Kluyveromyces lactis: one gene and its partners. The protein of the gene in region 1 binds, or shares a complex with, the protein of each later gene. Links are inferred from orthologs where the notes say so. Each region holds a gene or a part of one and is shown in the gene's direction. Other genes may lie near its edges. The genes, in order: RPB5, RPA49, RPC53 and RPC17.

Region 1 (7,316 bases):
GCTGGTAAACCAGTTCAGTAAGAGTGTTGACATATTTTGAATTGTATTTTACATCTTCTGGTAGTTCTCTTTTGATAATCGATTCCACATAGAACCACAGCTTCCCGCGTAACTGGGATCGTAATCTCTTCTCTTCATCCATATTTGATCAACTGAACGACGCTACCATGAATAGAGCCCACAGGACAATGCCAAGTCAGGAATTGCCAGCTCAAAACTCTAAACGAACTGCTCAATCGATTGTAATCTTGTATATCTTGCATATCTTGGATATCTCCGCATTCCCAATGCATATCAATTATATTCATGTTTTCAACAGTTTCCAGAATAGAGGCAATTTGCATATATATAACGAAGACAACAGAATGTTTGATATCAGATAAATAAAAGATGGAGATTACAAAGAACAGCGTTAGAAAGTGAGGCGCAAACGTTTTTCGTGAAAATTACTACTTGACGAGACACTAGTGAGGTGTATGCTTGTGAAAATACGAGTCAGGTTATCCTTTTGCTCGAAACTGATAACTTATAGAGACATCTTGTTTTAGGTATTGCAAAAGAATAGGTTCAACAAATGAGCAAGTATACGTTGTCGTTCGGTTTGCTTCCGTTAGAACTGGATTCTGATACGAAGCATCTTTTGCCCATCAGCTCAATTACAAACTTAGATTCTACTGTGATAACTACTGGACGTGATGGGAACGTAGTTATTGAAGAGACTCAGACGAAGTTGGCTGTGCATAGCGATTGGATCAGTGGCATAGCTTGCCTATCTGCCGCCAAATTTTTAACGGTGTCTCATGATTTCACTATCTGCTACAACTGGAAAACGACTATTTGGAACCATAAGATTGTCGGCTACCATGCTGACTATGTGAAGGGGATAGCTTTAATAGGATTAGAAGACATGAAATGCAGATACGCCACGGTAGGTTTGGATAAGAAGCTAAAGATCTGGGAACTGGATCTTTTTGAGGTGGAGAACGAGGAAGACGTTGAAGCTAAATTACTTGGAAAATTCGATAACACCACGCATCATGATGCAGGGTCTATTTATTGCCTGACTGCTACGAAGGACGTCATTATCTTTGGAGATAACGAAGGCCGTTTAAGCTGGTACGATATAAATAGTTACAGTGTGATAAGAACCATAGATGACGCAGCTGGTGTGAACTTAAAGACTTTGAAGCTTTTAGATGATGAAACAACCGTTCTTAGTACAAGCGCAGATGGAGAGATCAAACTTTGGAATGTTGAAAGTGGCAAATGCCTTTGGACCAAACAGTTGTCGCACGCAATATGGTCGGTAGAAGGAACGCTTTCTAAAGATTTATTTCTTGGCGACTGCATGGGTAATATAACGCAACTTCAAGGTAATCAGATATCTGTTATCTACAAGCCAAGCGATTGCGACACAAAAACAGGTGGCATTCTGGCAATGGCCATTATAGAAGATGTGTTGTGGTTCTCCAGATCAGGAAATTCGGATCTAAACAAGTTGAACTTGTTGAGTAAGAAGCTCACGGTTATAGAAGGTGGCCATGCACTAGTGCGGTGTTCTTTGTTGACAAACCGCAGACATGTCATCACGGAAAATACATCCGGTGAGTTGGAGAAGTGGGATATTGTTTCTTGTGAGCTGGTTGAAAAAATCAGCCGAGACGAAGGTAATTTCGATGAGGTGGTCAGAAAACTGAATCCCAAAGAAGTCTTACAGCACTGGTGCTCCGTTTCGATAAAACGAGGCATTCTTTTTGTAAAGATCAATGAACGTTTCCTGAATACCGAAGTATACGGAAGTGCCCTCACCGATTATGTAATAGTCAACGAGGATAAAGTTGACGAAATTAATTTGGACGAAAGATACAATTTGGGTCGTATAGCTGTCAATTCATTATTACATGGTTTTATTGATTATGAATTGGCGAAGGATAAGAAATTCAGAGAAGATATTTCTTCCACAAAGAAGCAAACTCCTCCATCTACTCCAAATCTATTAAGAAGACACAACTCAATGGCCTCTGACCATACGAACCCTGATCAACATAAAGACAACAAAAGTATCAAGGAGAAAAGACGATTATCTATATTTACCAAGTTCACTCAATCAAATAACACTACCCCGCAAAGTTCGGCCCCCAACACCCCCAATGGTATACCTGACGTCCCACATACATATCACGGCATAATCGAAGAAAGCGAAGATGAGATGGGAATGATGTTACCTGGCCCAGCAACTGCTCTACCTACTTCATCGAAACCGGCGAACCTCACTTTGACAAGGTCTGTTACTGAACAAAGTATCGAGAGATCTGCTACACCTTCAAGCACATTTGGTTTCCATAACAGATCATCGAGGGTAAAACTAGAAACTAACAGCATCGATGACCTTCATAGTATCTCTTCTACTGGGAATGGTGAAGTGAACTTCAAATTCAATTCAAAGAGTTTTTCCAAAGATCTGTCTGAACGAAAGCCAGGACTTTTCTTGAACGAATATATCGAAGAAGTTTATCACGCTTATTTGAAACAGGCTCCAAACTCCTCATCAACGTTCATGAAGTTTGGGAGGCGGATCCCCGAGACTTTGTTCATCAGAGACTCAACTAGACCCGTGATACAAATCAAGAGTGGATGCATTCTCACGGTCAACCATTGGAAAGAGGGGTCCACAGGGGAAACTATTGCATTTTCCACATATCTCCCACCCCCTACATATACGGCAAACGACTTGATCGATAACTACCATACTTATGAATCATTAGAAAGACATCTCCCGATATGGCTTGGAAAGATTCTTTTCAAAGAGGATAAAGTCATTAAGACGTACCCAAAAATCACATTCATCATCCAGCCTTGGAAGGACGAGGCTCATTTATCGGAGGAAACGCAACAATCGCCAGAGGCTGAAAGACTAGTAGTAGAACATAAAAGATCAGGGTTCCACAAAAAATCTAAACCACCTGAATCACCCTTAATGCTACCGAAGATTAACGATAGCAATGTTAGATTAACAGCTGCAAATATGATAAAGGCAAAAAAGATCAAGACTTACATAGTGGATAGATTCGAATCAAAGACACCTGAGATGAAAAACAAAGAAGATCCAAGCGAATGGTTAGAAATCTTGTGCAAAGGAACAGTACTAGAAAACGATATCACCCTGAGTGCTATACGCACTTTATACTGGAAATCAAACACAGACATTGTTCTTGAATATAGACGTAAACCGACTTAAAATTAAGAGAGACTGTGAGACTAAGTTCTCACCCAGGCTTATCAATATATATATATATAACTAAATATAGACATATATACAAACATAGAACTACACCTGCCGCCCTTGACTCAGAGCATTCCATACCAACACAAGACAGGCACGTGACTGAAATCATGAAGGACGAGTTTGATGGTTTGGCTCTGTTTCCTTCTTTCATCGCATTGAAATTTCGAAGGTTTGTTGAAGTTTTTCTTTTTCTTTTCAGCCAAAATTTTCCAAAATTTAGAAAGCGATGAGAAACAAATCCATTAATTTGTTGATTGAAATTTAAGAAAAGATTGAAGTTAGGTAGCCGAATAGTCCTTGTACCGGTTGAAATTAAGGGGTAAGATTAGTTTGCATATCGATAATTGAGTTCTTAGTACTTGTTTGTGCATATCGATAATTGAGTTCTTAGTACTTGTTTGTGCATTTTAGAATTTAATACGAACTAATCTTCAAGCGGAAAAAGTTAGTTTCATAAGATATCAAAGGCAAGTGACGCACAATTTTTGTAACAATGGATCAAGAGCAGGAGAGAAACATTTCCAGGCTATGGAGAGCTTTTAAAACGGTGAAGGAAATGGTTAGGGACCGTGGATATTTCATTACCCAGGAGGAAATAGATTTGAGTTTAGAAGATTTTAAGGCTAAATACTGTGATTCTATGGGCAAGCCACAACGTAAGATGATGTCTTTCCAGTCCAATCCAACCGAAGAATCAATAGAAAAATTTCCTGAGATGGGTTCATTATGGGTGGAATTCTGTGATGAAGCATCTGTTGGTGTGAAGACGATGAAGAATTTTGTGGTTCATATTACGGAAAAGAACTTCCAAACTGGTATATTCATCTATCAAAGTGGTATTACTCCAAGTGCAAACAAGATTTTACCAACTGCAGCACCAGCAGTCATCGAGACTTTCCCAGAAGCATCTTTGGTTGTCAATATTACACATCACGAACTAGTCCCAAAGCATATCAGGTTAAGTGAGGCTGAAAAGAAGGAATTATTAAAAAGATATAGATTAAAGGAATCTCAATTGCCTAGAATCCAAAGAATGGACCCAGTAGCATTATACCTTGGTTTGAAAAGAGGCGAGGTTATAAAAATTATTAGAAAGTCTGAAACTTCTGGACGTTACGCAAGTTACAGAATCTGTTTATAAGAGCAATTAAAAAGAGCCATTCCCCAACCCTAAGTAAAGTAAATGCGTGTGTATAATAATAGACCAAATTAGAGCAAGAGAAACTAATAGGGCCTTAAACACACTCTTCGTATGAGAACCCATCAGGGGATATCATAATCTAATTACGATTCTTTTTTCAATTATTTAAGGAAATGATTAATCACGTTTTGAACATAGCATGTCTGAATTAAGAGAGTTCATTGATATAAGAATTCGAATTTTTAGGAAAACAGGTAAAGATCAGGAATGGCTCACAAGACGTGAACATAACACGCTATCCCTTGTTCCCTTCCACCAGGAGATATCTTTCAAATTAATTTCAATAAGAGGAGACACTTCAACACCCTCACTACCCAAGAAGGTGGCACCAACGGTGATGACCAGGGCATCGATAAGGTGTGGTCTCTGTAGCAAATCATTGATAACAATCCCACCACCTTCAACCATGATGGATTTTAATCCGAATTGAGATTTCAATTGGATGAACAAATCGTGCCAGTCCACTTTACCTGTAAAATTAGTTTGCATCACTAAATAGTCAACGTTCTCTTCTACAACTTCTGGAAGCTTTTTCACGACTACAATTGGTGCTTTACCATCACCAGAATCAAACAAAGTTTTCATCTTGGAACCCTCAAACTTCCATTTCCCGTTTGGATCTAAAATTATGGGCCTTGGAGAATGTTCAGCAAAATGTTCTGGTTTTGGCTCATCATCTGGCCACCATTTACAGTTCAAACCGGGATCATCAACCAAGACAGTACCACAACCCAACATGATACCGTCAAACTTGTAACGGAGGTAATGGGTCATTGTATTAGTTTCTTGATGAGAGATAATAGTTCTAGTCCCTTTGATCTTCGCAATACGAGCATCCAACGATTGCGCATAAGTTAAAATAACGTACGGCTTTTCCTGTTCGCCCAAAACGCCAGCATTTTCCGGCATGTATGGTTCTAAGAAGGAAACCAACTCCTTTTTCAATGGTTGTATAGGCATGGCTTTTGTCGATGTATATAGCTGACGCGTTCAGTTGTGATTGGGCAGTGATGTTCCCAGTTCTTAAGCAGAAAATAAAAGAATGAAGTTTTTATCTTCTAAAACTTGAAGCCAATTTCGGGTTGTTTTAATACTCTTACACTGAAATATATCTATGAATTATGAAACTCTGTGTTGAGATAACACTTTTCCGGATAATTCAAAGTGATCTCAGTCCGATAAATTAAAACGAACTCTCAAAAGCTCTGAGTCAATATTATTTCAACAGCACAAATACTAGCACTCAGCCAACGTTGCCTTGCCAAAATAGATCACAGGTACTCGAAAACAACACGTTCCCGCTGAAGGGATCTTTCCGCAACTAAAAAAAAGAAACAACATTGTGGAAGTCACCTGTGTTAAACATACCAAACTAAAATCTTTTGAGGTACAGTCAGTTGCATGATTGTTCCTGTTCTGTTGTGGAATTCCTTCCATTGGTTATGTTCGATGATAATAAAAGAAAAAAAACATGACGCATCACGTGAGATACTTTTACAGCTATGTAGGAACGAAGGTTGGTATGTGAGTCAGTAGTAGCTCCAAAATGTTTCTACTCTTCTATGTATCCATATTCAGTGTCTTCAGTATCGTTATTGGTATGGGAGGATGCTAGTTGGAGTTGGCCTTTCTGCAAACGGGCAGGTATAGAGATATCTTTCTTTGAATTAACAGGATGTCTATTGCGTGATGATGCCTTCAAATCGAAGGAATTGAGGTTGGAATCATCGTTCAAGTCCAATTCCTTGAGCCAAGGATCATCTACTTTACTGAGCTGCGATGCCCTTTGCATCTCTTGTTCTTCGATTAATAACTGCTTATCTAACTTCTTTTGCCTTTCTCTTTTCAACCTTGCCTGTTGTCTCTGTTCCCATTGCAGTTGTTCTTGTTCAGGATTAGTATTATCAGTGTCATCAATGGCAATTATTTGACTCAATATCGATTGATCTGAAGTCTCAGAGGCTACTATATTTTCCGTATACTGCTTCTGTCGAAGAGCTTTAGCTAAATATGCAGCTCGAACTAGACTTCCGTTCTCACCTGTCTCTTCTGGCTGATTTTGCTCATCTTTCCTCTTTCTCTTGAGAAATACAGGCTTGTGTAACGTTACCTCATCATCACTACTGCTACTACTGCTGCTACTGCTACTGCTACTACTATCTGGACCATCTTTACCGCTGTCACTGTCGCTGTTCGCTTTTGTACTTAAGTGAAGTTCAGATTCGTTCATCGGATTCGAACTGTAATTATCATCTCTTGCTGTAGTAGATTTTTCGTCTGAAGACGAATTTTCAGAATCGCTAGACTCTTGCACTTGCTTCTTGAAGTGTCGTATTGCCATTTCAACTGCTTGTTTGTAGTCAATACTGAACTTTCACTCGCTTATTTCCCTCTTTCTCAAGCTTTTGACGTATACTTTCGATTCAGATTGTCATATTATTATTATATCATTATCATTATTCTAAACAGGGCTAAAAATGAAACATGATTCCAACGTGAATATATGATAGAATCTCTCTCTCTGAATGCGACAAAATTGGATTATGCCAACATAAAAGCTCTGCCAGAAATTAAGTATGTTATATAGGGGGTAGTAGTTACAATTTAAACCAATCCACCTTGCTGATCCCTGTAATTTTGAACTATAAAAAGTAAGGCGGTATGAACATGGATAAATCTGTTCACTCGTCTAAAATAAGGAAATGTATTCGGAATTGAACTAGGATCTAGTACTAATAGTTGTTTAGTATCTTAGAGATAATAGATTTAGCAGATTCCCAAGATTCATCGAAGTTGAATTTTTCATTTTCATGTTCGGAGGAGTCTTCA
Region 2 (7,856 bases), on another chromosome or scaffold:
GTCTATCCGTAGCTTGTAAAAACTGCGATGAAGGTGCTTTATTCATTGCCAATTGACGAACTTCATCTCTGAAATAAGAGAGGCATCTGACATAAGGTAGAGCGATGTCTTCCTTTGAAACGTCGGGGGAAGAATCAGAAGATGAATCGTCCAACCAACCTAAGCCATCAGAACGTAATTGAAATCCGATGACACCGAGAATCTTACTTATATATCTGGTAATTGCCAATAGCGGTTCAATTTTTAGTTCAGAGCTAATGTTCGCAATGTAACTGTTAGATTTAGTCAAAAGTTCATTAAGATGTTTCAATACCTGTGGTGTAGATAGGTTATCACAAAAGGAAGCATGAACTTTTTCCTGAGTTGATTTCAAAACGTTGAGTAAAGCCTTCTCTTCATTTGACAATTTTTTGCTAACAATCTTTCCTAAACCCAAGGAATGCTTGTAGTCATTATTCAAAGCCCTTATATTTTTGAAGAAATTAGTAAATGAAGATTCAAGAGATTTCACTTCGTTTAATAACGAATCCTTGAAATCTAATTGATTGTTCCATTGCACAGAAGCAAATGCAAGTCTTAACTGACGAGCGCTGTATTTGTTTAGAGCTTCTTCAATGGTAATAAAATTCTTCAATGATTTTGACATTTTTTGCCCTTCAATATGTAAATGACCTGTATGAAGGAAGTAATTAATCCACTGATGGTTATCATAGCAGGCTTCGGATTGTGCCAATTCATTATCGTGATGAGGGAAAGCTAGATCAATACCGCCTGTGTGGATATCTATTACAGAACCATGTATATCACTGGCCATAACAGAACATTCGATGTGCCAGCCGGGTCTTCCTTTACCCCAAGGAGAAGGCCATTCTGGTTCTCCTGGTTTAGATGCTTTCCAAAGAGCGAAATCATTGGCAGATCTTTTACCATTTTTGGCAGAAAAATCAGATAATGAACCTTCACCGTCTTGAATCAAGTCAAGTTGACCCTTATTCCAAGGCTGACATTTCGCATACTCATGCCCCTCACTTGAATCGAATTTTGCAGTATCAAAGTAAACTGAACCGTCGGAAGTAGCATAAGCATAACCATTACTAATAATAGTCTCGACAAATTGGACAATCTCCGGGACGTATTCAGAAACTCTAGTGGTAACAGTTGGAGGAAGCACATTCAATGCAGCCATATCTTGATCATATCTTTGTTCCCAATAAGCTGGAAGCTTACGGAAAATATCAGGGTCATTCAAGGTTGAACCAAATTTTTTATCCAACAAAGGTACTAACACGTCCTTCGCCAGTTCAAAGAAATTATCACCCTTACTTTTAAGACTTTCAATCGCGTTTGAAACGGATGTTGAATACATAGAGAACTTTGGATTTTCTACTTTCTCCTTCTCTAAATCTAATCCGCTAAACCAAGATTCATATTCCTCAACGGTGGAAAATTTCTGATTTAAATTCTTTTCGACGAACTCAAACAAAGATATTTTGACTTCTTCAACAGTATCTTCGGTTACTTTATTGTCATTTCTTTTAACATATTCTTCGAACAAAAAGTTCTGTCTGGCTCTAATAATAATTTTGTCGTCAATATCAGTAACATTTTGTACAAAATTGATATCGTAACCGAAATAATCCTGAAGAATTCTTCTGTTTATATCAATTGAGACGTAGTTTCTGGCATGACCCATATGTGAAGCATCATAAACAGTTGGTCCACAAGAATACCAAGTAACACACTTCGAATTAGAATGGGTTACAAATTCTTCCTTATTTCTAGTAAGGGTATTGTACAATTTTAGCACTGGTAGGGGTTTTTGTTGCTCTGGCTTGAACCATTTTGGCTGAACCACTTTTGGGGCGGACATTGTTCTTACTTTCCTGATGGCTTCAATTATAGCTAATCTTTTTCTAGCAAGCATATACTACTGAGACAAGCCGGAAGCAGTACTTAGCGCAGCAAAAATATATCAAAGATATAGTAGTTAAACCTAGACTTGGATTCAGGAGCACAGTAAATAATAATAGAGAGATTTTTCGGCAAATTAATGTTATCATTTACTTAGCTCTACGAAGGTGAAGGTTTTAAAATCCATTAAATTTTCTGGAATGAGCTAAAGGAAAATTTTGATGTTGAATCTAGGTCACATGAACAAATAAAGGCAATGGGAGACGTCGATTAACATCAAAATGGGAAAATCGATTAAGTTCTACAAATAAGACGTTCAGTTCTTCTTACGGTGCAACAATGGTACATTTTTCATAACTTGAAGAATTAGGGCTTTGAATCCATCCTATTCTATCTTGTTGACAGTTATCTGTGACAAAAAATATTTAAGGAAATCGACAACTAATTAAAGCAACTTCCAATCAGATGGTACGCTCGGCAGCAAATATTGAAAAGGAAAGTCCTGGTCAAATCAAATCACAACGAGATGCCTGTAGATCAATTATCTACTGATTCTGATCTAGAACGTGAAGAGGCCGCTCAAAGTCAGCTTGACGTAAACTCTGTCACAAGCTATGAATCCCCGAAGGACCTTTATGCAGAAGAGGCAAGCTCCTTTATTGGTGGATCTGCGGTTATTTCAAGAGTGAATACCCAACGACGGAAAAGCACCGGTGCTAAATCCCTTTATGAAGATGAGGAAGAAAGTAACGAGGGCGAATCAAGGAAAGAAGACTTCAGTAATTTATTGGCAAGTCCCGACCTTGTTGAATCTAAACCAAAGAAACTAGATGCGCAGGAAAAAGTATCAAAAGATGTCGAGAGTGATGAATCTGAGATAAGTTCATTTGATACGAAGCCATCACATAAGATTTTTACCTTCAGTCTTCCATTCGGGGGTAAAAATCTTTTGCCAGTATCTCCATTGACATCAATTAGAGCTTTCTTGTCCAATGAGCAAATAAGCAACGATGGAGTTACTGAACCAACAACCAGCTCAGATGATAAAGAAAACAGAAAATTAGATAGAAATCAAATTAAGTTGAAATTAAAGCGTCAAGAATCTATTACATCTATCGAGGAGCGCTTTCTGTTTGCTAATAATAAAGGAATTCAAAACGTAAGATCAAAAGCAGTGAAACATGCTCTAAAACCTGAAACCTTAATAAACGCAATTAGAAGTTTTTCCAATATAGATCCTGAAGAAATCACAGAAGATGGGTATTCAGTCTCACGGCTTGAAACTGTTTGGGACGAGTTGGAAGGGGATGTTGTAATTTTAGGAGGCTATCGTGGTAGTATATTGAGAAATGCTGAAACTATGAAACGTGTGTGGATACCAATAAAGGCTGGTTTTAATATTAGGAAGATCAACCTTTTATTAGGCCCAAAAGAAGATGATGAACTTCGTGCAACAGAAACCATAATTCCCGATGGTATGTTGACCCATATCGGGCCAATAGATGTTGCAAGGAAACTAATACGACGCTTAAAGATGAATCCAAACGTTAATGTAGAAGACTTTGGATACGATTGGAGATTATCTTTAGATATTACGGCAACACAATTAAAGGATAAGCTCCAAGAACTTTATGATAAACAAACGATAAAAAAAGGAACTTTCTTAATTGCGCACTCGATGGGTGGTCTTCTGGCACATAAAGTTTTACAAGATTATACGCACTTGATAAGAGGAATAATTTATGTAGGGGCTCCGAGTCAGTGTCCTAATATTTTAGGTCCCTTAAGATTTGGTGATGAAGTTATACTAAACAAAAGCATATTGAACGCAGAGAGTAATTTCTTTATGAGAAGCAGTTTTTATTTTTTGCCGCATGATGGTAGATGTTTTATCAATAAAGATACCTATGAAAGATATGATCTTGATTTCTTTGATCCGAATGTGTGGAAGGAATACGGTCTTTCTCCGTTAGTAAGTAAAGAAAGAGAAAGCACATCAAAAATAGACAAGGTTAAAGACTCCTTAAAGTTGGCAATCTTATCACCAGTCAAAATGATCAAATCATCGAGCAATCTTTTGAAAGACGAGACTGAAAACGATTTTATCACTTCATTTGAGGACTCTTATAACTATCTGAAAAGGATTCTTCCAAAGACTAAGCGTTTCTTAGATCAACTAGAACACGATTCTGAAAAGACATATCCGCCGCTAGCAATAGTATATGGTGATAGGGTTCCGACGGTCAGAGGTGCCAAGGTTAAAAATCGGGAGGAGATAAAGAAAGGACTGTATCAAGACTTTTATTACGGACCTGGTGACGGTGTTGTACATCACAAGTGGTTACTTCCAGAAAAATGCGGCTTTCCTATTGTAGCAAAGATAGCTAGCGAAATGCCACATGTAAGCCTCATGACAGACTTTGAAGCTATCTCTAAAGCCTTCATTTCCATATTGGACGCTGAGCAAACAAATACGGAGAAAGAACCGTAAAAATCTAGATACATTCAGTATGCTTTTTGACGTGGCTCTTAGTATGCATAAGTAAAGAAACATACCTGTAAATAGTGTGAATTTTTCATGACACAATAGATACAATATAAGGAAGTTCTTCAGGTTTTAATTGTGAAAACATAATTGATATGTCACATCACTCTTCCATAACGTCAAATAAGACTTTCAACCATAGTGAACAAGCCGAACATTGCACCAATACGAAATATCCACCTCCCTCATAATCTATCGCATGTTCTTCCAAAGCATCTTCGGTTAATTGGAACCCATCAGTTATTTGACACCTGGGACAATTCATCGAAAAAGATTGTTCATCTCCGCTGTAATCGAACAGATCTAGAGAGAAAAGATCTAGACCATCACCTGCATTGTGAAAGCCAAGTTTCTTGAACGATTCAGCAAGTTCCTCATCATATTTTTTCCTCAAATCCTGATCAATGAGGGTCTGGTAAGCTTCCTGGATATCAGTAACAGAATGACTAGATGTATTGTTTCCGTTGGAATTATAATTCAATCCAGATTTATCAGGATGTGTTTCCAGTAACATGGCCCTATAAGCTCTTTTAATTTCGATATTACTGGCATCGCTTTCAATGCCCAAAATTTCATAGAAGGATCGTTGCATTATGATAACTGGATGTTCTGCTACAGAACCACTCAACTTGGTATAAGTGCTGACATAGCTTTTTGTTGATGTCTGTCAACATTTCAATGAAATATCAAAAGCTAACCTCATCGCCTCTAACAGAGCATTGAACGAAATACAACACAGAAATCTATGAAAAAGCAGGTTTAACATGCAGCAGAAAAAGTAAGGCGTCCTGACTAAGCTTGGTGTAACGAGGTACTATAAAAGGCATTTATTAATCTGGCAAACGGTCGAAGTTTCGTCTTTCCAACTCAATAATCCAATGGTTCGGTCACATGACTCTTGTTTCTTTTTCCTTGATCGAAAAATTTTTGGATATGCGATGAGATGAGATGTAAAGCATCGATCACAAACTATATTGGGAAATTAGTACATCATTGAAAGGTATCCCAAGGTCCGAAATAAGCTGACTGTGTAGTAACTAAGAGTGTGGAGATGGGTTCCAAACGTGCATTCACTGAGGTTGGTGTTTCAGCTTATCATGATGAACCATCTGTTGCTGTAAGTAGCTTCTTTAAGGGCTTCCAGGCACCAAAAGATACCACCTTCGAGCTATATAAGAACAAGAAGAACAGCGACAAATACGTGTTACATGGTGAAAACGATAGACTAGAATATGAAGGTCAGACTGACGATGATTTTGTTAATTCTTCTCAGTATGTTGTTGGTGTTTATGATGCCGCCACGAAGTCTGTAGAATTGTACAAGGCACCACTGGTATCCAGCAAGGTTCTTTCCAAATCTAGAAAGAACCTAATGGGACCTGACATTAAACAGGCTAACGTCCGTGCTGCATTGATGAGAAACGCTTTAGGTGAGGCGTTCGGTACTAAGAAGGCAAAGAAGGCCATTGCTGATATGGAAAGAAACCGTATTGATTCAGACAAATTGGTTGATTCTGCGATAGATATTGTAGACACAGTGAAGACTGCTTCGAAAGAACTGCCTTCAAAGGAAGAACTGCAAGAAACTGTATCTTCTGATAGACCAACTCCGTTGGCTGATTTAGACGCAACAGATGTGGAACAAATTTATCCTTTATACAACATAATACCCAAAAAGGAATGGTCATTTATTCGCGTTGGCAGTATCATGAAAGAGCAAGACCCAGAAAAGAGGCTAGAATATTTCCCATACACTAAATTTCAATATGTGGCTAACAAGTTGCCAACTCTAACACAAGCAGCACAAATGCAAAAATTGCAATTACTATATTATTTATCACTTTTGGCTGGGGTGTACGATAACAGAAGAGTTAACAACAAGACAAAATTATTGGAAAGAATAAACAACCCTCCAGATGCCCTATTAAATGGCATTTTGGAAAGGTTTACCATCTCTAGACCTGGTCAATTTGGTAGATCAAAAGATAAGTCATTCTTTATCGATCCACAGAGGGAGGACAAATTGCTATGTTATATTTTGGTAATTATTATGCATTTGGATAACTTCATTGTTGAAGTCCCACCTTTAGCTCAACAACTAAACTTAAAGCCTTCCAAGCTTGTCAGTCTCTTCAAAATCTTAGGTGCTACCGTTAAGGGTGCTACTGTAGCTCAAGCTGAAGCCTTTGGCATTCCAAAGTCTTCTGCCTCAACGTATAAAATAGCAACTTTGAAGGTACCATTCAAGCTACCAGAAATGATTAGAAGAGGTAAAGGGCCAAGAAGGTAGCTTATCCCTATGATTTAAGTAGAACATGCGTTTGTATAATACTTTTTTGCAATTGATCTACACTTCTTCAGAAATCTATTTTACTATATAAAGAAAAAGAATTATTCATCTCGTATTATCAACCTTCATCTTATAATGATCAACTAAAAGAATACAGAAAGTGATGGTATAATCGAGAAATTAGAACTTAAACATCATATATAGAACCTGTGGATATGCAAGATGTTGGGATAGGTGTCGATCTGGGATCTACCGAGTTTAGAATAGGTATTTTTGATTATTATACTGATAGCCTAGTCAAGGAAACGAAAGAAAAAGTCCCTTATTTTAGGCATGGAAATGGGATCATTACCCAATGTACCTCTGATATTTTAACTGCTGTAGAAAAAGCATTCAATACTTTATATATCCAGGAGTACAACATTTGTTCATTGGGTGTAGGAGCAACTTGTTCGATGGTGGTTGGGAAACAGAAAGATGAGAACTTAATTCCCTTCAATTTGATTCATGACAAGAACGGTAGATATCACGATATCATTTTTTGGATGCATTCAGCAGCTATAGAGGAGACGGAATATCTCAACAATATTACAGACGAATCAATCTTATGCCACTTCGGCGGGAAATTTTTCCCTGAAATGGCAATCCCGAAATTGTTGCACTTGAACAAATTATACAAAGACGATGGGCTGACAGTTCTCGATTTGCATATATGGCTATTGTGGAAAATTTCTCTCAAGTTAGGTCATAAGGAATTAATGCCAGTTCAAGAACCAAATTCAAATGGTATTGGACATGATGGTGAGCTATTTGGTTGGAGTAAGGAATTCTACGAGCATCTACAGTTAAACAAAATATTCATAGGAAACAATGCTGTTATTAAAAAAAATGAACAATTTGGGGATAGCTGTATTGACTGCTATGCGAGCTGGTTTCAATGCTGGTCTACTGCTATGTTAAATCGCACTTTGTTCGTTGTAGCAGGAACTTCAACGTGCTTCTTATATGCAAGCGATTGTTTCGAATCGTTTATACCGGGTATTTGGGGACCTTTTAAAGACATTCTGGTAAACAGGAAACATATCAGCAAGCACGACAATTATTCTGTCT
Region 3 (7,967 bases), on another chromosome or scaffold:
GCCAGTCCACTATCTAATAAAATATTAATAGAAGAGAGACAAAAGGTGATACGATCTCTAATTGACGGCAAGAATGCGATATTATTCGACGATCTTTCAAATTCTCTAAAGTACATGCCTAATATATTCAGCATTGTAAATGAAATGAGCAAAGGCGCAGTAAAACTCTCAGTGTGGAGAAAATATATTTCTTTCTGTACCAAAACTGTCGAGATCATAAACTTAATCCATATTCTCTACGATTCTTCAGATAATTGCCGGTTATTTAACACCATAAAAAATGACCTTGATAAAAGCATGATGTTGAAGATATTAAAGAAAACCGAAAGTGTTCTTGATTTGGAGGGGTCCCTTAACCAAGATGCGATTGTTATAAAGGATAAAGTTCGTATAGAACTAGATGAGGCAAGAGGAACTTACTTCGAGCTTGAAGGTGTTTTAAATCTTGTGGCAAATGAGGCAAACAATACACTAATATCAACATTGCAGAGTAATGAGGAGAAGCTTTTTAAAAAATTGAACGGACGAAATGCTTTGATAAATGCGATATATCTACCACAACTTGGTTATTTACTATGTGTTGATGCATCCATAGAAGATATGTTCGATCCAGCTGTGCTATACTGGACTGAAATTTTCAGAGAACAGAATGTAATATATTACAAGAATGATGATACGAAAGTTATGGACGAACACTATGGTGACCTTCATGGAATAATATCCGATTTAGAGTTGGAGATCCTACTTGAACTACAAAATGCAGTCTTGAATACAAAGCCAGCAATTTTGCTGTCAGGAAAATGTTTCGCAGAGCTCGAGGTTTTAGTCTCATTTGCTAAGACCGCCATTAGCCAAAATTATGTCCAGCCTGTCATTGAGGAAAAGGAATGTGTAATTGAAATTGAAAACGGCCGGCACCCCTTATATGAAACACTTGTAGACACATACATCCCCAATGACCTTCGCATGCTTGGCGGAACTTTTGATAATGATACTTGGAATAATAATTTCAAAAGAATTTCTGTCATTACTGGCGCTAATGCGTCTGGTAAATCTGTTTTTTTAACGCAGAACGGACTTATAGTGTTTCTTGCTCATATTGGTTGTTTCGTTCCTGCTGATAATGCACGTATTGGTCTCGTGGACAAAATATTGACCAGAGTAGTGACTCGGGAATCTGTAGCAAAGACGCAGAGTACATTTGAGATTGATGCAAATCAAATGTCCAAGTGTTTGTCATTGGCAACGCCGAGAAGCTTACTTTTGATTGATGAGTTTGGTAAAGGGACAGATGTGATTGACGGCCTATCTATGTTCGGAGCAATTATAAAGGACTTTTCAAGGAGCTCGTCTTGCCCTAGAGTGATCGCATCTACTCATTATAACGAAGTTTTCAGTCCAAACATCCTTACTAGTGAAATTAATGGTGTAGTATTCTATAAAACCGAGATTTTATTGCAGGTGATGGAAAAGGAAAATAAAGGAAATGCCAGAGATGAAATGATTACCTTTTTGTACAAATTGAGCACCGGAATTGCCACGAACTCTTTTGGTATATTCTGTGCCAAAAACTGTGGCTTAAGGCAGAGCATTGTCCAAAGAGCACAAGAACTTACAACTCAGATAGCAGATGGATTTGACATTGCTAAGAACTACAGCAAACTAACTATCGAAGAATTGAACCAATTTAGAATTGACCAGGATATTGCGAAAGAGTTTGTAGCATGGGATCTTGATCTTGAGTCCATCCATTCTGACAAGATACAGCATGCAATACGGAGAAAACTACAAAGAATATTGGATGCTGGACAAAGCTGCTAATTCGTGAGTACTCAGAAAGCAAAATATTACACGAATGAATAATGCGAGTTTTTTTTTAATGCATGGAGTATATAGATACACTAAATATCATCTAGTACTAATTTTTAAATTTCACAGACTTCGTTAGATTCTTCTTAATACCAGTCTTTTCACCTTCATACGCACCAGATTGACCACCAGAGTAGACAGCACGCACAGATTTGAGCTTCTTTTGAGCTTTTTCGTACTTCTTTCTCTTTTTGACACGCGAATTTCTGTTGTCCTTCTTCCTTCTTGGTGTTAGACCCTTATTCTTTAGAATTTGATAGTTGATTGCACGTTTACCATCTTCTGTAATGTGTTCGGCCAATTCAGCCAATTTTCCTTCCTTAGCAGCTTTCGCCACCTCTTTGTGTGCTTGAAGACGGGAATCTTTCTTGTGTTGTCTATCAGCCCTGATGCTCTTGTAATATTCATTCTCGGCATCACGTTTAATGTCTTTGGCAGTCTTTTCATCATCCGAGTTGATATCATCCGTATTAAGATCTGCCGCATTTTTATCATGCAAGCCACGTTTTCTAGCTTCTTCAAGTAGCCTCTGTTGTCTTTCGTAAAGTCTTTCTTTGTAGGGAATATCGTCATCACCTTTGAATCTATCAGTCTTCTTACTAGCCTTTTGATCGATTTTGGAAGTGTAGAAACGTAACGTCTTCTTCCTTGTTTTCTTTTCTTGGACATCAACATCTGCAATCTCATCTTCAACAAAGTCATCAACGTCTTGTAATATCCTGTCTTTCTGAACTTTGTTTGCAGCTCTGTTCGAAAGTTCGATATCAAAGTTTTCTTCTTCTTCGCTTTCCATATCACCCTCCTCGTCCTCATTCTCATCTTCTGCCTCATCGTCACTGGCACTTGCTTCACTGTCCAGTTCATCCTGTTCTTGTAATAGTTCTTCATCAAGTTCACCAATATCCGAAATATTTTCTTCAGCGTCAGAGTCTTGCTCAAAGCGTATTGCTTCTGTGTCCGGTAGTTCGCTAGCTTGTCTCCAAATTTCTTTACACTCCAAAATACGCTCCATTACCGGATGATCTTTCATAGAAATGAAATCTTCGTTATTCTGTAATTCATATAAGAAAACTGCAAAATATGAACTAATTGTTCCAAGATATGAAGATAATGCCATAATTTTGATCTGAATCAATTCATTATTCTCCTCAGTTTGTTTGAGTTTCAGCTCGTCTAAAACGGGTGATAATTTACTGAATTCCTTTGATAAAGGAAGGTATTCTGGGAAGGATGTCTTCAAGAAACCTTCCTTTCTCTCTAAGTCCATGTTGAGAACATCCCTAAGGGAGATTTCAGTAGGACGTTCTTGATCCTTTTGATCTTTAAATTGACCTAAATCGAATTCCTTAGCTTCTTTTACCCATTCTTCATCAACTTCATCCTCAAGATAGTCTTCCATATGAAGGTCTTCCAAATGTTTCTTCTGTTGGCGCAAAGCTTCCTTTTCTATCTCTCTTGCAGTCTCTTCATCGTCCAAGTCATCGGCACCGTAGTATTCTGCCTTAGAAGCACCCCATGCGTTCTCATTGTCCAGCATAGTACCACTCTCTTCTTCTGCATTCTCACCAACGTCTAATTTCCTACCAAAAACCTTCTTATACACAGCTTCACCTGTTAATTCTTCTTGTTCACTTTCATCATCTTCAACTTCTTCACTTTCATCCTCACTATCTTCATCTGACATTCCCATCACTTCTTCTTCTTCATCCACTGAAAGATCAAAATCATCTTCTGGTTCCCTTTGATCAAGACCTGCGTCCTCAAGTAGCACTTTTTCTCTCTTGTTTGCAAAGTCATCGACCTCATTCATGCCATAGGCAACATCTTCTTCCTGGTCTTGTCTACGATTAGACCCTCTTTTTGAGACCTTTGCACCTCTCTTTGCCATATTTGAAGTACAATGTCCAGTACAATTTAAGTCCAACTCAATATACAGTCGATTACAGCGGCTGATAGTAGTTACCTGTTATGCAGCTTGTCATTCTCTTAGTTATACCTATTCTCTGAATTGAGATGAGATGAGATGAGCTTTAACTTTAAACAAAATTTTCCAACATTGCTTTTTCAAGATTTTTCACCAAAATTGAAAGCTGCACTACTACTGGAAGAGATCACAATGAGATGAGCAAAGTTGATGCGCAAATAGTCAATGCAAGGGTTAGTATCCAGTAACTAGTCTTCGTTTTCATATTAGGATTTGCTGTTGAACGAAGAAACGGTCGAGAATCGCAGTATTAAACGCTTGAGTCAAGAAGTTATTTGCATCAAATTGTGATAGGAATCAACTAAAGATGAGTGGACGTTTACCTGGATTGAACCAGGGGAAACCATCAACCGGAACCTCGCTGAAGTTTAAGCCCAAAGTGGTAGCTCGTAAATCTAAGGAGGAACGAGATGCTAACGTTCTGAAGGTAGAAGAGCCGAATAAACAGGTTGAGAAGAAGAAATATACACAGAAACCACAGGGCAACCAGAAGAGGCAGCCGAAGTATTTAAACAACACAAGAATTATCACATCAGGCCCATTGGCAGCTGGTAATTTCTCTGGAGGATCTAATAAAGGGAATAATGGATTCATTAAGACGGAGGGTTCTCAAAGCAGTCTTGTGCAACGCGGTTTGAAAGCTGTTTCTGATGATGAAGCAGAGGGATCGGACGCAGAAGATTCAAAAGCTGGGAAGAGAATTAACATGGGGAAAGAGTATACAGAGGCAGACTTCAAGAAGGAAACTGACGATCTGTTTGATGAAGATGAGGATTCTAATACTGATGCAGCCATGAGTGAAGAGACCAGAGCCTCTAAACAATTGGCCAATCTTTTCCCTGTCAGGGCAGTTCGTATCAATCACGAAAAGGTGGATTCTCTACAGAAAGTTGTCCAGGAATCCATGTCAACTTTGCAGACCAGGGAACCAACACCAGGACCTGTGAAGCTAGAACCAGAACAATCGGATGGTACTTTAAATGACATAGTGAACGAGAAGGAACAGCAGTTAAAAGAAAAACTGCGTTTGCTTCAACTTCAACAAGATTTCCAATCTGTTGACAGCGCAGAAGCTCTCAGGGAAACAAATTTGTTATTTGAGGATCATAAACATATGTACAAAAAGTTAAACAAGATTAACGACGTTCCAAATAAGTTTATGTTCTTCCAGTTCCCATCAAATCTACCTGAATTTCAGCCACAACCCCCAGTGAAATCCACCGAAGAAGATGTAAAGCCAAATGGTGAAGCAAAAGTAGATGAAGGAAGTGAACAATCAAATAGTAAAAACAGCAAAGAAACACAAATAGATTCACCTGAGCCTTTGATCGGAAACGTTGGTTCAATTAGAATGCATCGATCCGGCAAAATGTCAATCAAGATCGGGGACGTCGTAATGGATATCAGCAGGGGCGCAGAGTCTACATTTTTGCAAGACGTGGTTACACTAGATTTGGAGGGAGAAGAAGCGGAGCTACTAGGCCAAATCGACGGAAGAGCGATTGTAACACCACATATCTAATTATATAGATTTCTGCATGTACATGATAGTTGAAGAAAAAGCTCAGCAAATCAATTCGTATGATAACATTAATTTAATGTAGACAACTACATCAAGAATGGGAGATTCAAATACCACTGCGAACACAATCAGCAGCTACTGCATAGTAACCTAATAAAGATGCATCGCCTTTTCAGGTTATAATTCCTGAAATCAGAATAGTCATTAAGTACGAGTTGATGTTTGGATATGCAGGGCTCCATTACAAAACTTGTTCATGTATACAAGGATTCCCTTAAAAATGACTTCAACAAACACAAAACAAGGTATAATCGAAAGGACACTACAACCATAACCTTACCTCTCACGGTATTTAGTCAGTTGATTGAATCAACTTGAAAAGTTTGGATCAATAAAATTTTGGAAGTCTGAGTTATGACGGATAGTCAGGATAAAGTAAATGGTGGATCCAAGAACACATTTCTATCAAGAGTGTTTGGTGTGCACTCATCTGCTGTAGAAAACTCTTTGGATGCCGCTGAGATGAGCCATATTACTATGCCTACGGAACAGGATTTTAGTAACTATGCCGAGGATGAAGGTAATGTGAGGCTAATAGAATCCGATCAGGAACCATCTTCATCTAACGAGGACAGCAATGATGAGGAGCCGCTAATACAACAGCCACAATCCATAAGATTTGATACAGCATCTGATGGGATGGCAACAATACAATCGGAATCAGAGCCCGATGAGGGAGGTACAGAAGAAGATGAAGTGCACTTAGAAGAAGAGGATTTCAGCGATCAAGACTTGGCAAGCTCTGTTTCGAAATACGGACAGCCTTCAAGCAGCGAAGACGAGGAGCCATTATCAAATCGTGACAGTAATAGAGGATCTGACGAAACGATACCTTTCATAGGTAGACAACGACTGAATCTAGGTGGTAAAAACCCCATTACAGGAGCAACTAAGTCAACCAAGAACCCTTCGGAAAGCAGGGTATTCGAAAGATTGTTAGGGAATAGCCCTGCAAAGATGTTTCGCAATAACGGAAGGCCGAATAATCTTGAGGAGAGTTTTCTCTTCCGAAAGCCATCAGTCGCAGAACAATCAGGACCAGGTAAATCAACTCATTTCAATTTGAAACCTCCTCCAATATTTAACAATATTTCTACTTTGACAAGCACTTCAAAGAACAGCTTATCTTCACTTAGTCCAAAGGAACGAGCTTTATGGAAATGGGCAAATATCGAAAATTTAGACACTTTTTTGCAGCAGGTGTACGAATATTACCTAGGGAACGGATTCTACTGTATCATCACAGAGAAGGTTATTCATCTAGCTACAATCTTGTTTGTGGTATTCATTTCAACTTACATGGGCCATTGCATAGATTATTCAAGGTTGTCATCGTCTCATACTTTTGAAGAAATTCATATTGAACAATGTTATAAGACACAGATCTCTCCAACTGCAAAGGTATTTCTATGGATATTTTACGCCTTCATAGGGCTTAAAGTTCTACAATTGTATTTTGATGTGAAAGCATTGAAGGACATCCGAAACTTTTACAACTACCTTTTAAGCATATCAGATAAAGATTTACAAACTATTCCATGGCAAAGTGTGATTCAACAACTAGTATTACTTAAGGATCAGAATGCGATCACAGCAAATGCTACCGAAGTCAAAGCAAAAAACAGGTTGAGTGCGCATGACGTGGCTAATCGAATTATGCGCAAAGAGAATTTTGTCATTGCACTATATGATAACAATATTCTTGACTTATCCCTACCAGTACCTCTACTAAGAACATGTGCTCTTACCAAGACGCTCGAATGGAACATAAATCTTTGTATTTTAGGTTTTGCATTCAATGAGAAGGGCTATTTAAAGCAAGCTTTCTTAAGAGAAAGCCAGAGAGAATACCTGGGAGAGGAGTTAAAGAAGAGGTTTGTTCTTGCTGGATTCTTGAACATTATCTTATCCCCATTCTTAGTAACATACTTTGTTCTATTGAACTTCTTCAGATATTTTAATGAGTACAAAACCTCCCCAGGATCAATAGGTTCTCGGCAATATACTCCTATTGCTGAATGGAAATTTAGGGAATACAATGAATTATATCATATTTTCCAAAAAAGAATGAGATTGAGCATGATAATAGCGGACAATTATGTCAATCAATTTCCCAATACATTATTAAGCTTGACCTTAAGCTTTATACAGTTTGTTTCCGGTTCTTTTGTGGCAATCTTGGGTATTCTGACAATATTTGATCCAGACAATTTCTTAAACTTCGAAATTACACCTGACAGAACTGTTTTATTTTACATGACTGTTTTTGGTACTTTATGGGCAGTTTGTCACAGTTCTATCAACGATGAGTATACGGTTCTCAAACCAGAGGAAACACTGGAGGAACTTGTGTCGTATACACACTACGCTCCAAAGGAATGGAAGGGGAAATATCATACAGAGGACATCAAAAATGAGTTTTGTAGGCTTTACAACTTGAGAATCACATTATTACTAAGGGAACTAGTCAGCATTATAATCACTCCCTTCATATTATGGTTCTCCCTGCCAAAGAATTCAGAAAGAATAATA
Region 4 (7,088 bases), about 150 kb from region 1:
ACAAAAAAGGTCATTGAAATGTCACAGATTAAGTACATGCTTCTCACGTCGAGGCAAGGCAAGACTAGGTTAATCAGATGGTATCAACCCTTCGATATAAAGTACAAGCATAAAATACTAAGGGAAGTGACGACTAACGTACTGTCCAGGAAGTCAAAAATGTGCAATATTCTAGAATATCAAGATCACAAAGTCGTGTACAAGAAATATGCCAGTTTATACTTCATTGCAGGGATTGATTTGGATTCGGACAACGAATTGTTGACTTTAGAAATTATACACAGATTTGTGGAAACTATGGATAGATATTTTGGGAACGTCTGCGAGTTAGATATCATATTCAATTTTAGCAAGGCATACAGCATATTGGATGAAATGATAATGTGTGACGGATCTATAATAGAAACTAGTAAAGATGAAGTTATACATGTTGTGGAGGCCATGGATGCAATTGAATCAAATGATGACCTTGATAGGGTATTGAGTTGAGAATGCATGCATTCAAGCAATTGACGTGATACTGACCGAGATGAATAGAAATTTAAATTAAATTGTGAATATGTACAATATATTATCCTTTCTTTCTTTATGTACGGAAACTCAACAATTCTACTTGTACAATAGTTTTACAAAATCTGCATCCCCCATCGCACCTACACCTTTCTCGTTATCAGTAGATTCGCCTTTTTCAACAGCCCTAATCTCATTGTACAAAACACCAAATACGTATGGGGTATCATCGTATTCATCCATTTCACTGGCCAACGCCCTGTACATTACGTTACTCTTACTGCATGGATGCTTTTCTTTGTACAAAAGAACGAAATTCTTGATGAACTCCTGCTTATCATCCTTCTTTAGTTCATTCCATTTTTTATAACATCTCATCGGCGTAGCATGAAAGTTTCTGTTCTGTATCAATGCAAATCTTCCTATGGCTTGTCTAGCTGCAAACATCTTTATTAGCGTCATTACTTTCTTTCTAGTTAAAACCCCTTCTATAGTTCGTAGCAATCTCTTGAATCACTATATATTCTGCTTTGGTCAATACTTCGGAACAATGTTGGCTTGTCTGAGATAGATCTATTTCACCAAAAACGATCCAGTTATTTATTTATTATATACCCACGCCACAGAATGCGATGCGCTTTCTTTCCCCTGCCTGATCTTTCTTCATATAGCTTTTTGCTGCAAATTGGTGCGTAGATGTATGCAAAATAAAAGTCGTAGCCAAATTATGCACACCGTCGGAAAGTAACAATGAACCCGATGTAAGTTCTGGTACTTTTGTTAGGAAGTGTGAACAGGTTTAATACGATAGAATGATAGGGTATGATTAAGTACTAGCAATGTGAAGGCATCTAAGGGGTTTGATATTGTGTGTGTGTCTATGAATATTATCAGGGAGAAAGGAAGAGGAGATGCCCTGAGAAAACGCCGCTGAATACCATGTGTGAGGGTAGTCAGACACTTTGGTGCAGGGCAGTTCCACATTCAAACATCGCAAAGTACTATGCCATCTTAGTATAGGGGTTATTACACATCGTTGTGGCCGATGAAACCCAGGTTCGATTCCTGGAGGTGGCAGTTACAATTGAATTTATCTTACAAACAAACTTTTCAACGGTTTCGTGGTCTAGTCGGTTATGGCATCTGCTTAACACGCAGAACGTCCCCAGTTCGATCCTGGGCGAAATCAAATGAGAACGATATTTGGAAGATCGATTCTATTGTTTTTTTTAGTATTCTCAACATACAAGTAAAAACCTGGGCCTCCGCCTCGCTTGGGTGGACATAGAAATTTTAGCACCACTATCGGCCAATAAATAAAATAATCAGTAGTCGTCTGGGTGTTAAAGCACGTTGCACATGACTTGAGTTTTCAGTATACTATAGAGGAATATAACAACTATCACGAAATTGGTTGTGTGGCCGAGCGGTCTAAGGCGCCTGATTCAAGATACCTATCTTAACCAACCTTACAGTTGGGAACACTCAGGTATCGTAAGATGCAAGAGTTCGAATCTCTTCGCAACCATTATTTTTAATTTCAATTTTGAACTATTTTTAGAATTGATATTTTCTTTTCTATGCAGCATTGAAACAGAATTACTACACCTAGTAAAAACTACGGCATATATCACCTAGTGCTGCTCCCTCCCACCAACACACATGCGAGCTCATTTGTGTGACACACTTTTCAACTTCCATGTTGATTTCTATTTCTGGTTCTATTTCTATTCTTAATTGCAAAACCAAGCATCAAAACCAGCACGATTTCTCATTCTCTAGGAACTGTACTGTGTCTTCTCGAAATTTTTCATCAGTTTTTCTAATTTTATTCCTCGAACGGGTAAAGTAAAGGTTAGAAAACCCAAAAAGAGTAGGAAAAAGCCACCAAAGTGACAGTACAAGCCAAGAACAACGAAAAATAATATGGCAGGTATATAGTAAATGGAGAAGTTGCCGGTGATCATGAAGATGAACAGACAGACTTGCATCAAAGCCACGAATTTTTTCAGTCAATTTATTTTTGGTAGCGCATTCAAATAGTGGGAAATTTTCAAAGTTTCCCACCGGTACATATGTTTCTGTGGGATTTGGTTGGTTCAAATGTTTTTGACCTTCATTTTCCCGTTCAAATACATCGGATTGAACCCTGGGCATCAACGTGAAACCAACTTGAAATACGCGAACACCTCTTGTATATATAAAAGAGCTAGTATTACAATATTGATTGGGGTTAGACATTCTTTTTACGTGCGTCATCTTGGAACAAATCAATTTGGCAAGAATCACATCCCAAAGGTAACAGCAGACGAAAATGAAGTTAACCTATACCTTGAGTGCATTGGGCCTTGGGGCGTCAGTTGCCTACGCTCAATCAACAGCATGTAATCCTTTGACTGCCAGCACATGTTCACCAGATCCTGCTTTGGGTAAATCCATCTCTGTACCATTTGATGAGGAATCTTCATATTTTGAAAGATATGCCACGAACGGTAATGTTTCTTATGGTGATGATGGTGTTGAAATGACTATTAATAAGAGATTGGATAATCCAAGTTTGGTTTCAGAATTTTATATTATGTTTGGTAAAGTTCAAGCGATTGCCAAGGCTGCCGGTGGTCAAGGTATTATTTCCTCATTCTATTTGCAAAGTGATGATCTTGATGAAATTGATATCGAATGGACTGGTACTGATACTACTCAAGTTCAATCCAATTTCTTCTCCAAGGGTGAAACTACTACATTTGACCGTGGTGCTTTCCATTCGGTGGACGATCCTCAAGGTTCTTACCACAATTATACCATTGATTGGACTAAGGATGAAATCAATATCTATGTCGACAGTGCACTGGTAAGGACTATCACCAGTGACAATGGTCAAGGATACCCAGAGTCTCCAATGCGTATTTTCACAGGTATTTGGGCTGGTGGTGATTCCCAAAACGAGCCCGGAACCATTGAATGGGCAGGTGGTTTGACCGATTATACCAAAGCTCCATTCAGCATGTATTTGAAAGACGTTATCGTTGTTGATTACTCCACTGGTACAGAATACTCATACTCAGGCACCGATGGTACTTGGGAATCTATTGAAGCTAATGATGGTGAGGTGTATGGTAGATATGATCAAGGAGTAGCAGATTTCGATAAGTTAGCTTCTGGTGGAAGCGTATCAGACGACACTTCATCTTCATCCTCCTCATCCTCCACATCTTCATCTTCAACCAAGACAAGTGCATCTCCATCTACATCCAAATCTTCATCCACTTCCTCATCCTCATCTTCATCCTCATCCTCATCCGCATCATCATCATCCTCATCCTTATCCTCATCCTCCCCCACTACGACTTCTAAATCTAGTACCACAATTCCAACTACTTCCACTGAAAGCACCTTGAACACAACTAGTGCTTCATCTACCAGTGCTTCATCATCCAGTATTACTGCATTGAACACAACATCTTCCTCCACTTCCCTATCATCTTCTTCAACTCAGTTGAATACAACTGAATCTCTAATAACTTCCACGGAAGAACTTGTGACCACAGGTTTCTCATCTTTGGTCACTACCACCGCTGCTGACGAAGAGATCACATCGTATGCCACTGGCGAGACAAGCTCATCAGCTGCTTTAACATCCACACAGTCAGAAAACGCTGCTGCTTTCAATTTACCGCAATTGCTTGCTATCATTCCAGCACTTCTACTTCTCTAATAAATAGTCATTTTGTAATATAAACTAACCTCGTTGAATTTTAATAGGTGCATCTTAATCGCTATGGTACCAGCATCAGCCATGCAACTGGTATGCACAAAGCAGGATACGTATACCCTGAGCACTTGTTTCGTTCATCTAAATCATGATACACGGGATTATTTTTCACCGCTTCGAATATATTGAAAGCCATGCAAAGAGAAGAGATGAGCTGAGTTGAGATCAAAGAGTAGCAAGTAATAAAGACTGTATCGGCCTATACTGAATTATCCAAGTAAAAAGCTTCTCATATAACAAAATTCCAAGAAAATGCGCGTGCTTGAGGAAAAAAACGCTTTTATGAGCGACTACGAAACTTTGCAGTTCCTCATATCATTACAGAATCAACACCGATGGACCTCTGGATCAAAATCAGACAGGAAACACAACAAACCATACTACCATCCAGAACTGCAAACGATAACCAGAGACACGGTAAGGTACATAACACAGCGTTCCACTACAGCAGAAGACCCAGAAGAACCAGAAACGTCGGACAAGACCGTACCCAATAACGCCAACAAATCCACACTGCTGAACCTAACTACAGACCAATTCTCAACACTAATGCAAGAATTAAATGCTTTCCCACTATACAAAGCAGAAAAACTACAAATAGTGAACCAATTACCAACAAACTTGGTCCATTTGTATAGCATAGTCGAAGAGTGCGAATCAAGACTTGACGAAGGTCAGGTGACCTCGCTTCTCGAATGCATCTCCCGCACGTGCCTCTAATTATTATACACCATAATACAATATCTATAATGTTTAAATGCTTGGAGAAAAAAATCACATATAACAGACCGAAATACAATGAGAAAAAAGATCAGGAACATGAGTTTCAATGTTTCCAAGTGACAGTATAAGGGAAAAAAGGGATACCCTAGAATAAAGTAGTTATCAGGGCTTCTGAGTGGGTTAGACTTGCATCAGGACCTTTGAAATAGCTGATACTGATAACGATGGTAAAATTTGGTGAACATTTGAAGCGATCTTTGATTCGTGAGTACAGTTATTACTATATCAGTTACAATGACTTGAAGACGGAGTTACAGGAATCCTTGGAAGCTAACAACGGAAAATGGAACGAGGATTTGGAGACTCAGTTTTTGGAGTCCTTGGAAATTGAATTGGATAAAGTGTACACTTTTTGCAAAGTGAAGCATAACGAGGTAGTGCGTCGTATCAAGCAAGCCCAGGAACAAGTTTCTGTCGCTGTGCGTTCTTTGGATACAAATGTTCCGGTTACAGATTTGGATTTCCAAATCTTAGAAGAAGAATTGTCTGATATCATTGCTGATGTGCATGATTTGGCCAAGTTTGCCAGGTTAAACTACACCGGTTTGCAAAAAATTATTAAGAAGCATGATAAGAATACCAATTTCATCTTGAAACCTATTTTCCAAGTCAGAATGGATGCCAAACCGTTCTTTAAAGAAAATTACGATGAATTGGTGGTGAAACTTTCACAACTTTACGATATCGTTAGAACCAGGGGTAATCCTGTAAAGGGTGATTCTGCTGCTGGTGGGAAACAACAAAATTTCGTTAGACAAACTACAAAGTATTGGGTTCATCCAGATAATATTACAGAGTTGAAATTGATCATCCTAAAGCATTTGCCGGTTCTTGTTTTCAACACTAACAAAGAGTTTGAAAAAGAAGACAGTGCCATTACCTCTATTTATTACGATAACGAGGACCTTGATCTATACTACGGTCGTTTGAGGAAGGATGAAGGTGCTGAGGCGCATAGATTGAGATGGTACGGTGGTATGAGCTCTGACACAATTTTCGTCGAACGAAAGACACATAGAGAAGATTGGACTGGTGAAAAATCGGTCAAAGCTCGTTTCGCATTGAAGGAAAAGTACGTTAATGATTTCTTGCATGGGAAGTATACTGTAGAACAAGCGTTCGCCAAGATGCGTAGAGAGGGGAAGAAATCAATCCAAGAAATTGAGAATCTAGAGGCGTTGGCTACAGAAACACAGTATACAATGCTCAAGAAGAAACTAAGACCAGTGGCCAGAAGTTTCTATAACAGAACTGCTTTCCAATTGCCTGGTGATGCCCGCGTGCGTATTTCTTTAGATACTGAATTGTCCATGGTAAGGGAGGATAACTTTGATGGTCATGACAGAACCAACGGTAACTGGAGAAGAATGGATATTGGTGTAGATTGGCCATTCAATCAGTTGCCTGAAAAAGACATTTGTAGATTCCCTTACGCTGTTTTGGAAGTCAAACTACAAACTCAAATGGGTCAAGAGCCTCCAGAATGGGTCAGAGAATTAGTGGGCTCGCATTTAGTTGAACCTGTGCCTAAGTTTTCTAAATTCATTCACGGTGTCGCGTCACTTCTCAACGACAGAGTCAGTTCTATTCCATTTTGGCTACCTCAAATGGATGTTGATATCAGGAAACCCGCCATCCCAACTCACATCAATATCACAAGACCTGGAAGAGATGATGAAGACGAATATGAGGACACTGAAGATGAAGAGTTGGCTGCTCCAGGGAACTCCTACGATATCGAAGAAGCAGCTGGAGAAGCCGGTACCGCACCTGCTGGACAATCCTCTACTGGGAACTATGGTTCTATAACTCAAGATTCAGCTCGCGCTGGGAACACAGCGGATTCTCCAGCCGCTAGTGAAAATTCCGCAGCTCTTCTGCGCAATATCAGACAAGCTTCTAATCCAGTGGCCAAATATTGGCACACATTAGTGTACCAAATAGATCACTACCTCTACGGCGACCAAGTTTCTAAGGTTCCCGAAGGTACTGTCTTTGATACATACGTCCATGCCCCACCGGG

The links.
Region 2: RPB5 (region 1) and RPA49 share a complex: the UniProt entries of both Saccharomyces cerevisiae proteins name them as parts of the RNA polymerase I (Pol I) complex. The link is inferred for Kluyveromyces lactis from reciprocal best matches to the Saccharomyces cerevisiae genes RPB5 and RPA49.
Region 3: RPB5 (region 1) and RPC53 share a complex: the UniProt entries of both Saccharomyces cerevisiae proteins name them as parts of the RNA polymerase III (Pol III) complex. The link is inferred for Kluyveromyces lactis from reciprocal best matches to the Saccharomyces cerevisiae genes RPB5 and RPC53.
Region 4: RPB5 (region 1) and RPC17 share a complex: the UniProt entries of both Saccharomyces cerevisiae proteins name them as parts of the RNA polymerase III (Pol III) complex. The link is inferred for Kluyveromyces lactis from reciprocal best matches to the Saccharomyces cerevisiae genes RPB5 and RPC17.

What each region holds. Positions count from the first base shown.
Region 1 is NC_006042.1:1,965,799-1,973,114, forward strand, and holds RPB5 (DNA-directed RNA polymerase core subunit RPB5), read left to right. Parts: upstream 1-3,779; coding exon 3,780-4,427; downstream 4,428-7,316. Other genes in the region: MHF1 (Mhf1p), read right to left, coding at 1-142; DUF1 (Duf1p), read left to right, coding at 575-3,238; RIB7 (2,5-diamino-6-(ribosylamino)-4(3H)-pyrimidinone 5'-phosphate reductase), read right to left, coding at 4,689-5,447; U4/U6-U5 snRNP complex subunit SPP381, read right to left, coding at 6,040-6,828; KLLA0_F21164g (uncharacterized protein), read right to left, coding at 7,220-7,316. UniProt on the Saccharomyces cerevisiae protein: DNA-dependent RNA polymerases catalyze the transcription of DNA into RNA using the four ribonucleoside triphosphates as substrates.
Region 2 is NC_006039.1:265,861-273,716, reverse strand, and holds RPA49 (DNA-directed RNA polymerase I subunit RPA49), read left to right. Parts: upstream 1-5,507; coding exon 5,508-6,746; downstream 6,747-7,856. Other genes in the region: CRS1 (cysteine--tRNA ligase), read right to left, coding at 1-1,924; KLLA0_C03003g (uncharacterized protein), read left to right, coding at 2,438-4,402; JJJ3 (Jjj3p), read right to left, coding at 4,560-5,048; MPA43 (Mpa43p), read left to right, coding at 6,962-7,856. UniProt on the Saccharomyces cerevisiae protein: DNA-dependent RNA polymerases catalyze the transcription of DNA into RNA using the four ribonucleoside triphosphates as substrates. Component of RNA polymerase I (Pol I) which synthesizes ribosomal RNA precursors.
Region 3 is NC_006039.1:1,430,855-1,438,821, reverse strand, and holds RPC53 (DNA-directed RNA polymerase III subunit C53), read left to right. Parts: upstream 1-4,160; coding exon 4,161-5,375; downstream 5,376-7,967. Other genes in the region: MutS family protein MSH5, read left to right, coding at 1-1,821; rRNA-processing protein SAS10, read right to left, coding at 1,919-3,757; autophagy protein ATG9, read left to right, coding at 5,790-7,967. UniProt on the Saccharomyces cerevisiae protein: DNA-dependent RNA polymerase catalyzes the transcription of DNA into RNA using the four ribonucleoside triphosphates as substrates. Specific peripheric component of RNA polymerase III which synthesizes small RNAs, such as 5S rRNA and tRNAs.
Region 4 is NC_006042.1:2,112,667-2,119,754, reverse strand, and holds RPC17 (DNA-directed RNA polymerase III subunit RPC17), read left to right. Parts: upstream 1-4,534; coding exon 4,535-5,002; downstream 5,003-7,088. Other genes in the region: APS1 (Aps1p), read left to right, coding at 19-489; KLLA0_F22792g (uncharacterized protein), read right to left, coding at 610-972; CRH1 (transglycosylase), read left to right, coding at 2,825-4,225; VTC4 (Vtc4p), read left to right, coding at 5,230-7,088. UniProt on the Saccharomyces cerevisiae protein: DNA-dependent RNA polymerase catalyzes the transcription of DNA into RNA using the four ribonucleoside triphosphates as substrates. Specific peripheric component of RNA polymerase III which synthesizes small RNAs, such as 5S rRNA and tRNAs.